Linked DNA regions of Sus scrofa. The protein of the gene in region 1 interacts with the protein of each later gene in a biochemical or structural test. Links are inferred from orthologs where the notes say so. Each region holds a gene or a part of one and is shown in the gene's direction. Other genes may lie near its edges. The genes, in order: APBA1, CNTNAP4 and HTR2C.

The links.
Region 2: the proteins of APBA1 (region 1) and CNTNAP4 form a complex in vitro, tested with the Homo sapiens proteins (2 studies listed by BioGRID and IntAct, with this or other methods). The link is inferred for Sus scrofa from reciprocal best matches to the Homo sapiens genes APBA1 and CNTNAP4.
Region 3: the proteins of APBA1 (region 1) and HTR2C form a complex in vitro, tested with the Homo sapiens proteins (2 studies listed by BioGRID and IntAct, with this or other methods). The link is inferred for Sus scrofa from reciprocal best matches to the Homo sapiens genes APBA1 and HTR2C.

What each region holds. Positions count from the first base shown.
Region 1 is NC_010443.5:222,987,293-222,991,040, reverse strand, and holds the start of APBA1 (amyloid beta A4 precursor protein-binding family A member 1), read left to right. Parts: upstream 1-1,042; 5' UTR 1,043-1,295; intron 1,296-3,748. UniProt on the Homo sapiens protein: Putative function in synaptic vesicle exocytosis by binding to Munc18-1, an essential component of the synaptic vesicle exocytotic machinery. May modulate processing of the amyloid-beta precursor protein (APP) and hence formation of APP-beta.
Region 2 is NC_010448.4:11,587,368-11,591,115, reverse strand, and holds the start of CNTNAP4 (contactin-associated protein-like 4), read left to right. Parts: upstream 1-1,487; 5' UTR 1,488-1,505; coding exon 1,506-2,226; intron 2,227-3,748. UniProt on the Homo sapiens protein: Presynaptic protein involved in both dopaminergic synaptic transmission and GABAergic system, thereby participating in the structural maturation of inhibitory interneuron synapses.
Region 3 is NC_010461.5:94,052,466-94,056,213, forward strand, and holds the start of HTR2C (5-hydroxytryptamine (serotonin) receptor 2C, G protein-coupled), read left to right. Parts: upstream 1-981; 5' UTR 982-1,552; intron 1,553-3,748. UniProt on the Homo sapiens protein: G-protein coupled receptor for 5-hydroxytryptamine (serotonin).

The sequences.
Region 1 (3,748 bases):
TGTATGAAGATGGCTTTGCAAACTATAAGGCTTTGTGCAAATATCATTTATTATTACTGAGAAATCTGTGAAGAGAAATGATTTCGCTCATAATACATTGCCAATTATAGGTGAGGCTGTCGACAGAGCCCAAGTCCCCTGAGGCCTGTCTATCCCACTGCTTTTCATTAACGCACAGCACCTGACACCTGGTTCCTGCTGCTAAGGCTCCCCCCCACCCCCACTCTTATTCCCTCCCAAGCATATCTGGGACTGATGCCCTAAGCTAGGCTCAAATACAGTCTAAATTCTGACCAACCAGAACTGAGAAGCAGGTAGAAAAATTAAGCCGAGCATCTCCCGGCAGAAGCTTTCTGCTCTTCCCCCAGGAACGGACTCTTCCCCTCAAGGGCGGCAAACGCGGCCCGTTTAGCTCCAGCTCAAACCCGAGCGACTCGCCCCCTGGCGGCGACAACGCAGGACTGCAGCGCTTTCCGAGACGCCAGCCACCCTCTTTTCTGAAGGGGTCTTGTGCAGCCGCGGGGCAGCGAAATGCAGGCAGGGCCGGAAGAAGAGAAGCTCGGTAGTAACTCAGCAAAGGGAACACCCCTCAGGAGCCAAAGCAGCGGCCCGACCTCGTGGTCCCACAGCGCGGCCCATCCTGTCGGGGAACCCCCTCTGGGCTTCCGCCGAGGAGGCGGGGGTGTCCCCATCAGTCCCCTCGCGGAGACAACCCCACGTCACGCTCAGTGCGCCCGGCCAGCAGCCAGAGGAGAGAACAGGAGGTCCGGCGGGGCCCACGCACTGCAAGACGCCCCTGCCCGAGCCAGGCACTTAAGAGCGACAAGAGGCAGCAGAGCCAGGCACGCCCACCCGCGTCGGGACCGGGGCGCTTCAGAGGCGGCGCGTGGAGGACACCGCCCAACTGCTTAGGGCTCGCGCGCCGCGCGTGCGCGCGGGTGGGCGTGGGAGGCAGGGCGCTCCTAGCACGCGGCGTGCGCGCGCGCGCTCCCCGGGGCACCCTCCCTCTCCAGCCGGCCGGCTCGGCCCCGGCGCGCGTCACGAGGGGCGGGCGGCGGGCGGGAGGGTGGGGAGAAGGGGGTGGGGCCGCGGGACCGAAGGGGCCCGAGCGGCGGCTGCAGAGCCCTAGCCCGAGATTGGCGAGGGAGGCTGAGGTCGTGGCGGCGGCGGCGGGAGAAGATGGTGGCAGTAGAGGTAGGAGCGGCTGGAGTGGAGCTTTATTCCCAGGCTTGGCACCAACGCTGTCATTAGCGCCGCCTGCTCCCGCGGGCCCGCGGACCCAGCTGTCAAGCAAGGTACCACCGCCAGGGAGGGGTGGGTGAATGGGGGCTCTCCGGCGCTGATGCTGCCCCCGACTGAGCCCCGGTCCTAGCGGAAGGGTGCCCCCGGGCGCGAGAGGAGCTGCGAGGAACAATAGTGCGGATAAGAGGGGACAGCCGGCGACATCCAGAGGGCAGTGCCTTTAGCCACGGAGCTAACGGGGCGGGGGAAGGAGGCGTTGAGAATTGGGATGCCGGGTGTCCGGTGCTTGCTGAAATGCAGTGCTTTGGGGACAGCGGCGGGCCTGATGACAGTCATGGCAGGAGTGTGTGTGTGTGTGTGTGTGTGTGTGTGTGTGTGTGTGTAAAAGGTAGAGCCTAAGGGATGGGGATGGCGAATGAAAGGTGTTGGGGGACGACATTTCCAGGAATCCCCGCTAGGAACCCTCAGCTCTTGGCTGACTGTGAAAAAGAGTGTGGTGATGGCAACGATGAAGTGGGCAGGAGGCACTTGGTGTGTGAATGTGGAGGGAGACAGCAGGGTGGGTGCGGATTTGTAAAATACCATGTGTGTGAATCTGTGTATGTGTGTGATTGTGTCCACGCTCCTCAAACTGCTCTCCAAATCCAGAGATCTGCGGGTGCCCCGACTTGCTGTCACCCGTTTACTGTGGGACACTGTTTGTTATTTCCATCCTGCAACTCTGAGTACCTTCTCTGTTCTGCTCCTGCCCCGTGGATGGCCGGGTGTGGGGATTCTCACTTCTCCTCACTCACCCTCACTTCCCCCTGTTCTCACATGTCTTTTGACATGGGGATGTGGAAGTGTGACTGTGGCTTTGGACCCATGGCAGAGAAAGAGGGTAATGGTTACCCTTTCTGGGCTTTCTGAAAGGTTTTGAGGGGAGCTTCCATCCTGTGACACCTCTCCTCTGTTCAGCCCCTGCTCTGTAAGGGTCTTAGATGCCCTGACACTGCAGTTTCTATTGTTTATCTCTGGTCTGACCTGAAGGAGAAGGGTCTTTAATGGCCACATCCCTCTCTCTTTCCCCCAACTTTGAATGTCAACTAGACCTTCTTCTTCCACATTTAAATACTGGAAATCTTATGGCTGAAGAATATGGTCTTTATGTTTATTCTTGTAGCATGAACTCTAGATGTGTGTATAAGAGATGGGAGGGGTGGTATTTAAAAGACGAAAAGATCCTACTGAGAAATATTTGGTACCCTCCTTGGTCAACGTCACACAGGCAGGGCGTTTTCCTTAGGAAAAGGGATACTTTATTTCTACTCCTGGTGTCATCTACTCTTCCAGGCTTCACAATGACTAGGTGGTACCATGTATTATTCCAGAACTGAAATCCCCCAAGACTCATGGTGGTGAGGTCCCAGGTCAGTGCGTAGTCAATGTAGCCTGCTAGTAGGGAATTTGGAAAATGTCAGGCTGGGAATAAGTCACCCAGTGGGAGCCAGGACACAGAATTGCATCCAGAGTCAATAGCTGTTTAATTGTCTCTGCGTGATAAAGATAGGCTTGTGTGGGGCTGGGTAGAGAGCGATAGGAAGGGAGATAGCATATTCATATATGTGTCCACTGCAGTTTGGCTCCCTGCTCCTGTGTTTCTCCTGCGGTATTTATAGAAATGAATGTACCTTTCCACTTAGTATCTTGATATTTCTTTATTAAAATGTCATGAGACTAGATTAACCTGCTTAGAACATATTTTAATCATAACACCTTAAATTCTACTGCATTGCTGTCGGAATCCAAACTGGCTGCCCTGATCCTTTTGAAAAGCCTGTAAGCAGTCATAGCTACACAAGTAAGTATACAACACATTGGCATCAGAGCTTTCTTTCTCTTTAAAAAAAAAATCGTTTTATTTTCTTTTTGCAGGAGTTGCATTGAAAATAATAATAGGAAAATAATAATAGGGCTGTCCACATATTTTTTTTCTTCCCATTTATCTTCTCTTAATTAATGATGATCTGTAGATCGGGTTTTCTTGGAGCTGTGAACATTAAATTTCCCACGTCAAGTCAAGTCTTGTAAAATTTTAATGGGAGGTTGTTGGACTGCATCCAGGATTTAAGGATAGATTTATAAAAATGAATTTTAATTCTTAGTTCTTCACTCTCATTAGTTCTGCTGATTTCTTCCTGAGAAAAGTACTTTGGAGTGTAAAAGGCATTCTCAGAGGTTTTGGATTTTCTAAAAAATAGTTGGCATCTTTATATCTGCAGGTAAAATTCAGAGATGTAAATGTCTAATAAGACAGTTTAAGAATATTATTAATTATCAAGATAAATAAACTGTTTTGAAAAAGAATAATTATACAACAGCACAGTTGATGACTCAAGAATTAGTGATTTTCTTTCTGACATAACTGTGATAATTTTTAAAATGCACTACTTAGCTTCCTAAAGTTGGGACTATTAAGGTTAATGATATAGCTTGAATCCTGTAATTCAGTCTGAGAAATAGTTGT
Region 2 (3,748 bases), on another chromosome or scaffold:
GGGGAAGGGGAGGGAGTGGGAAGGACTGGGAGCTTGGGGTAAATAGTGGCAGAATGTTGCCTTCGGGATGGCTTAGCAATGGGATCCTGCTGTGTAGCACTGGGAACCCTTGTCTAGTCACTTATGATGAAACATGTAATGTGAGAAAAAAGAATGTATACATGTAAGTATAACTGGGTCACCATGCCGTACAGTAGAAAAAATACATATATAAATGATGACTAAAAAAAAATCCTCTTCACTAACCACTTATCAGGAATTGTCAATTTGTATGTGCTTTTGCTTGACATGTTATGTGCAAAAATAACAAAATCAGAATGTAGTCCTAGAAATACAGAGTCAACCCTCAAGCAATGACCTTTCTTTTCCACTGCCTTTTTTTTTTTTTTTTTTCCCTTGCCAGGTTTTCACTGCCACAGACAGAGGTCAGGAAGGAGCTGTACTCTTATCTTGCGGCAGCAAGTCCCAGGGAGAGAGCAGGAAAATTGGAGTCAGAAAACCAAAGCTCAAGCCTCAGTGCTTTACTTAGTAACTCTGTGATCTCAAGTTGTTTAAATTCCCTGTTCTTGTTTTCTCATCTGCAAAACAGGCAAAGTAAAATGATCCTCTGCTTTGTTTGTAGGCAAGAGTTAGCTCTTACAGTTTTATGGGAAAACACTTCTGTCCGTTCCCTTTTATTTCATTCATTCCATAGCAAAGTTGTTGCTGCCGAAGGCTTGTTTCTTCTGATGTATAATCATCAGGAAGTGCTTGAGAACCTCAGGATTCCTGGTCTATAAAATTTAGCAGAGCATCAGCTAAATATCTTGACATTTAATTTCAAGAGATTATTTATCATTCTGTGACATTCTGTGATTCAGTTATTATTATGTGGTATGAACTCCATCATTTTAGTATTCTGTTCAAGAACTGGCCGTATCCATGGATCAGCCATTAGAAGAGTGATTTTTCTGTAGTCTGTGGTCTTCTGAACTCAACTTGACACTTCTCTCCTTTAGACTATTTGAATTACATCTTTATATTGTTTAGGTTTGGGGTGTGTGTGTGTGTGTGTGTGTGTGTGTGTGTGTGTGTGAGTGAGAGAGCTCCCTTTCTTCAGTATCGTATCCATTTTATTTTTGGGCCTTTTGGGAATTGTTATTAAAGACTTTGATGGTAGAATGCCACTGTGAATTCACAGCCTGATGCATTCAAATAATCTATCCAAAGCATTCAGTTTGTGGATCTGTACTCCTGATGCACTAAAATAAGAAATTTTAATTTCTTGCAGGCTATTACTAGATGATTTTAAATATCTGCCAAACAGGAATGTCTGTTTGCTTGTGAGGCATTTCCATAATAAAATCCTGGCACCAGAGCTGAAGAGGATAGTTTTATATAAACAGAGAAAAACAACAGCAAGAATTTTCCCCAAGGACGGTTTTAGCTACAATTTACCAGTGCGGCTTAGTTATTGCTGTCTCATTTTATGCTTTTGTTTTGCAACAAAACACAATTTTACCTGGATGCCCTCCCGGCTGATCAGGAATCAGCTCGGTCGGTTGACTGGCTCTGCCGAAGGCAAGACCTTCGGAAAATCAGGAGGCGCCACCGCCTGGCCCCTCCCCCCACCGACATCTCCGGAGGGGAGAAAAGGGTTAAGGATTATTGAAGAATCGAGCAGAGGGGAGGGAGCCCCGAGGAGGCCGGGGAGCTGCAGGCCGCGCCTCCAGGTCCGGCTTTCATCACAGAGCAGCGCGCGTGGAGCTCTGAGCGCGGCTGTGGATTTGGAGGACGGATGCGGCTGCCAATTTCTGGGACCACGGCGGAGAGGAGTGGGCGTGGCCTCGGCGGTGTGGATGCTCGTTAGAAAAGATGCTGGGCGCTTTTCAGGGAGCAGTCAGGGCTGTGGTGTGTGTGTGTTTGTGTGTGTGAGAGTGAGAGGGAGGGAAGGAGAGAGGGAGAGAGAGAGAGGAAGAGAGAGAGGGAGGGAGGGTGGGAGGGAGGAAAAGAGAGAGAGAGAGAGAAGGGAAAGAAGGAGAGAGGCTGAGAGACCCAGAGGTGCCGAAGACCCAGACAGAACTGGGAGAGGGACAGAGAACGCGACCCGATCCCTTGGAGAGCCACTCAAGATCTTTTGGGGAGGCCAGATAAATGTGAACATGGGGTCTGTCACCGGAGCTGTCCTCAAGATGCTACTTCTGCTATCTACTCCAAATTGGAACAGGGTTTTAGCTGGGAATTCCTGTAAGTATCCAGCAAATGATTTAAAACTTGCAGGGGGCCTCTCTGCAAAACTTTAATTCTCTCGTTTTTTATGATTATTATTTACAACTGGAATTGCCGCAAAGCATGTTGCTATAAATGAAGCATCACTTAAAAATCTTGCACATATGATTGGGTTGACACATGTCATTCCTTTTGGTCTGATCAGAATATGCAAAGTGTCATTTGTCTTTTTGTCTAGGCGCAGCATCTTATCCTCTGGTCTTTGTGTGTTCCCTGAGAAGGCTCAAGTTCTAGTAAAACACTAAATGAGCGTCTTGACCAGAGAATCGCCTGTGCATGGCTTCCTTTCTTTCCTTTTTTAGGTTTACTAGATTTTATTGGAATTGAGTCTAACAGGAAAACAACTGGCAGACTTTACACTATGCTGCATTAGCTTAGGTTTCTGAAGTTTGCTATTTGGCAGCCTGATGGCTGGCTGCATCTATAAAATGATGCCAGAATAATAGCTGAAATGTACTGCAGAATTCAGGGGCACAGTTGGTGGAGGTAAACTTCAATATTAAAAATTGCGCCCTCGCTGCTCTAAGAATGAGACTCGAACATTCCTGGGAGAAGGGGCTTGCTTCCTACATGCTGTGTCCTGAAAAAAACAAAAAAACCAAAAAAACCAAAAAAAAAAACCAACAAAAAAATTCAGATGATTTCCTGAACATTCAGATGATTTCTTTGGTGGCCGAATTTTTAACTTTGTACATGTGTGTTTGAATATGCTGGTTCTGAATTAATGGGCTCAGGGAAGATTTATTAAGATCTTATTTCTAATTTGAGTATCATCCAGAATAATGTGGCAGAGAGCCCTTCTTCCACTTTGTTTGAGAGATAAGAAAAAGTTGTCAAAGTTATCTTTGGCTTAAAATCTCAAAAATGGGAGCATTTTCCCTCTCCTTTGATGAGTGATCAACAAGCTCAGCAAATACAACTTTTTCTCTCTTTCCTGGATTTTAAAAGCTCATCTGCTTTTCAAGAAAGAGCTATGAGGCCTCTTCAGGAATTTATGTTACTGCTGTTCAGCCAGGTTTGGGTTTGGGGGACACGAATACACCAGTGAGCAGGCATTTGTTATGACACATCCCTGGAGTGTACGAAAGTGCTCTGATGTGGGAAGAGCATTGTAAATGACCTCACTGGCACCAGTCAAATGATCATTTACCCTGTGTGGCCACGGGGATTTCGTGCTCCCCTTCAGTATCATCGCATGTCCTGGTGTCATCTGTCACTGTGAAAGAACTTCACTCAGGCCCTGCCCTGTGCTGCTGTTTAAATTTTGGGATGTCAGAATCCCGTGAGTCAGTGAACGGTGCATGTTTTCACCTAGTCAAAAATCTTGGCATGCTGGTAGCACTTGACAAACATTACAACAAACAGTAACAACACAGAGCCACATGCACACACACTCACACACACTCACACACACACACACACACACACACACTCACACAGTTTTGTAGAAAAGTAATTCATCGTACAACTATCGAAGTTC
Region 3 (3,748 bases), on another chromosome or scaffold:
GCATCTTCACTGTTAATCTTGGTCCTGGTGCCTGCGAGGCATCTCGGCCAAGGTGGCCCAGACCGCCCTTCTCTGTGCTGCAGCCCTAACATGGAAAGCACTCTCCTGGCGCCTTGGGAGCCCAAGAAAAAGAGCTCTCTTGCCTTGTTGATGATCGGCTCCCCTTAGTTGCCAAAAGAGAGGTTCGTGGTTCACCCCTTGCCCTGCTGTCTTCACTATGTCATGGCAGTCCTCACAGCGGCTGGGCAACCAAATAGCTCTGGGCCCCAAGCTCTGCGCAGGAGAAAAATGTGCAGCCTCGTCTCACAAACCTAAAGGAGCTGGGTTCAGGGCGTCATTCTAAGCACTCAGCTGGGGGCTGGGGGTTCAAGAATGGAAATAAGATGTGCCCTCTTGGAGCACGAAGGCCAAGGACTTTCCTTTCTCCCTTCTTTGTATTTGGGGCTGAGGACAAGGGTGGGGAATCGATCCTTATAATTGGACTAAGGCCTTTGCCCCCTAAATGTATGTGACCCTTTGAATGCCTCAGTTGCTTTGTTGGGGAAAGTGGCAGGAGTCAGGGACTGAATTTCAAAGCTCGTGGTAACTTCCAAGACTTGAGAATTGTTGAACGGAAATGTTCAAGGGAGTGTGTGGGGTGTGTGTGCATGTTCCGGGAGGGATGTTCTTTGAATCTTTAAGGGTACATTCTTGAGGGCCTGGCTCCCCCCGACTGACACCCCCATTTCCCCCCCACTACCACCCTCCCCCGGCCCAGGCCTCATGGATCAAGTTAATCACCACCACCATAACCACCACCACAACCACCATCACCACCACCACCACCACCACCAAGGGGTCCCGCGCCCCCTGCCAGCAGGCTCCAGTTGCACTAAGAGACTGGTCCAAACAGGCCGGGGGCAGTGGATTCCTGAGCGCCGATTGGCCATTCTTGGCTCCGCCCCTCATCCCTGGTTTAGCCCAAGAGAGCGATGCAGCTTCATCGGCGCTGGGTAGGCGCTCTGGTGCTCGCCGAGGACACTCCGCTCCTCGGGTGCACGGATCTTTCCGATCCTGCCTTTGGAGCAGCTAGATTGCCAGCCTTGGCTGCTCCATCGGCCTGCCTGCCCCTTACCTGCGATTGCATATGAACTTTTCTTACCTCTTCTTGCACATCGTTGTCGTCGGAGTCGTCGAGATCGTCGTGGTGCTCCCGTGATGGCCTTCGTCCGTTTAGAATAGTGTAGTTAGTTAGGGGCCACCAAAGAAGAAAGAAGACGCGAATAGCGCAGAGATGCTGGAGGTGGTCAGTTACTATGCTAGAGTAAGATAGTGGAACAAGAAAAGCCAAACCAATCCGGGGGTGCACGGTCGCCCGGAGGAGGTCGACTAGCCGGCGCTTGCTATCGCGCCGAGCTCCCTCCGTCCCTCTCTCCGCCGAGGCGCGAGATTGCGGCGCGCAGCGCAGCGCACTGACTGCCGCGGGCTCCGCTGGGCGATTGCAGCCGAGTCCGTTTCTCGTCTAGCTGCCGCCGCGGCGACCGCTGCCTTGCCTTCCTCCCGGACGCTTGTGGTAAGTTGGAACCCGGGCGTCATTGCTAGCCAAGACCCTAATGGTTTAGGCGGGGGATGGCGTGGCGAGCAGGGACAGGTCCCGTACGTTGCAGCTTTCAGGACCGCACTGGCCCGGGCGGGAGGTGAGGGGGGCGGGGATTGGGAGGGACTCTGAACGCGCAAATCGCGGAGAGTCTGGGGTCTTAGGGAGGGGCGAGGGACTTAGGTTCCAAGGGAGGGGCACCGAGGTCTCGAGAGAGGTTGGGAGGGGTGACTCCAGAGGAACAGGCGAAGGGCGAAGGCGGGGGTCTCTAGAATACGCCCCCGGGAAGCTGAGAGTGAGGGGAGGCGGGCGTGAGATCTCAAGAAGTGAGAGGGAAGAGGGGAGAGTGGGAGACGAGACTGAACATAGGTGTCTCTGGGCAAAGGTTCGGGCTGCGGAAGGTGCAAATGAATTGAGGGCACGGACTACGTTTTAAAGAAATCTGATATTGGGCAAGTGGGAGGGGGCTTAAGGATTGGGACAATGGAAGCAAAAGGGGACGAAAGATCCTCTATTAAGTTCTCATTGAAAACAGACCCTAATTTTTGGAGGGTCTCAGTAAACACTGATAACTCAGGGGAGACAAACACTGCGGATCTGTGTCTTGGTCTAACTGCTGTTGGCTGAATTTGAACAGGGGTGCTGACGATCACGTAAGTTTAATCGGAGGGTCTAAGGGCGTACAGCGAGCCTTCTTACTAGCTTACCTAAGTCACTTGGTGACAGTTTTATATTTTGAAAAGGATTGCCGAGACGTCTCCAGCGCTGCCTCTTATTCCAGTTCCTTTACTCAGTTTAACCTGACAAGTAATCGTAACAGCGTACCTCGGAATTGCTAAACATAATGAGAACAGGTTGCCGGTCCTGACGCCACATAAAGTTCGTCATTGCAAAACGTGTCTGTGTGTCTGTTTTTTTTCTGCGCCGTGCCCTTTGCTTTTTGCTTCCTGTTGGGTAATAGGCGACCTGAGGTGACAAACATTTTGTATTCTGTCCGAATCCCATTTTAAGCGACAGCGCTCCTCTACTCAAATTCAGCGGGCGATATTCGGCACTTAGAGAAAATCTGATTTGATTGAGAATCACTGCCGGTACCGCACAGCATTACTATTAACTATAACATTACTATTTACTGTCACAGGTCCCCTCCAGAGAAGCCTTTGCTAAGCCCCTGAACAACCTCACCACATATCTTTTAGGTAGGCTAACCAAGGGAATCTCCCTCTAGGGGAAAATCCATTGATTTTTAATGATTGGGGTTAAGGGAGATGCTGCGCAGTAAGTAATCTCTGAGCTTCCCAGTTTGCAGACATTTGTGACCTCACACACACAGTGATGCAAAAGACATCTCTGTTTCAGAATTTAAATTAAGGATTTTATCTAGGAGTTCTCTTGTGGCACAGTAGGTCAAGGATCTGGCTTTGTCACTACAGCAGTTTGGGTCACTGATGTGGCACGGGTTCAATCCCTGGCACAGGAACTTCCAAATGCCCGGGTGCCACCCCCCCCCCGAGAAAAAAGAAAAAAATTTATCTACGTAGCAATCATTCTAACAATCAAAATATGAACATGGTAGAAACCAAGTGTTTCTCTAGTTGACTATATAGGTGTAGACACAATGAAAAAGGCCAATTGACATGCCCTACAGAAAAAAACAATGATTTCTACCATGATCATTGCATTTTTTTTTTTTGCAGTATTTAAGTCACACTGAATACCATCCTTTCAGAAAAGTATGATTTCTTTGCACCATGATACCTTGATGCTTGGTAGTCATCTACCTTTCCCCCATGGGTGGGAGGAATTACATAATTTTTCTATATTTTGGGGAGGTAGGTTATAGAATATTTAATTATATTTCTCATTCCCTAAATATGTTCTTCTGAGCCTTCTGGAAGGAAATAAAATATTTTTTTTCGTTCACACAATTTCTTTCCTAATAGCTTTTATCATCTACAGCAACAAGCCCAACGCAAGTCCTGAGATTCGGAAGGTGGATAAGGCTTTTGATTGCAATGTCAAGGTAGGATCTGGGGTGCTTAAACCAACACTGATAGCGTTTTTCATGCTGCATAATCTAGAGAAGGTTATTAACCTTTCCTATTCTTTCTTGAGAGGTCTAGATCTAGAGTTGTCATGGATGACATAATTTCAAATAATAACACAACAGGC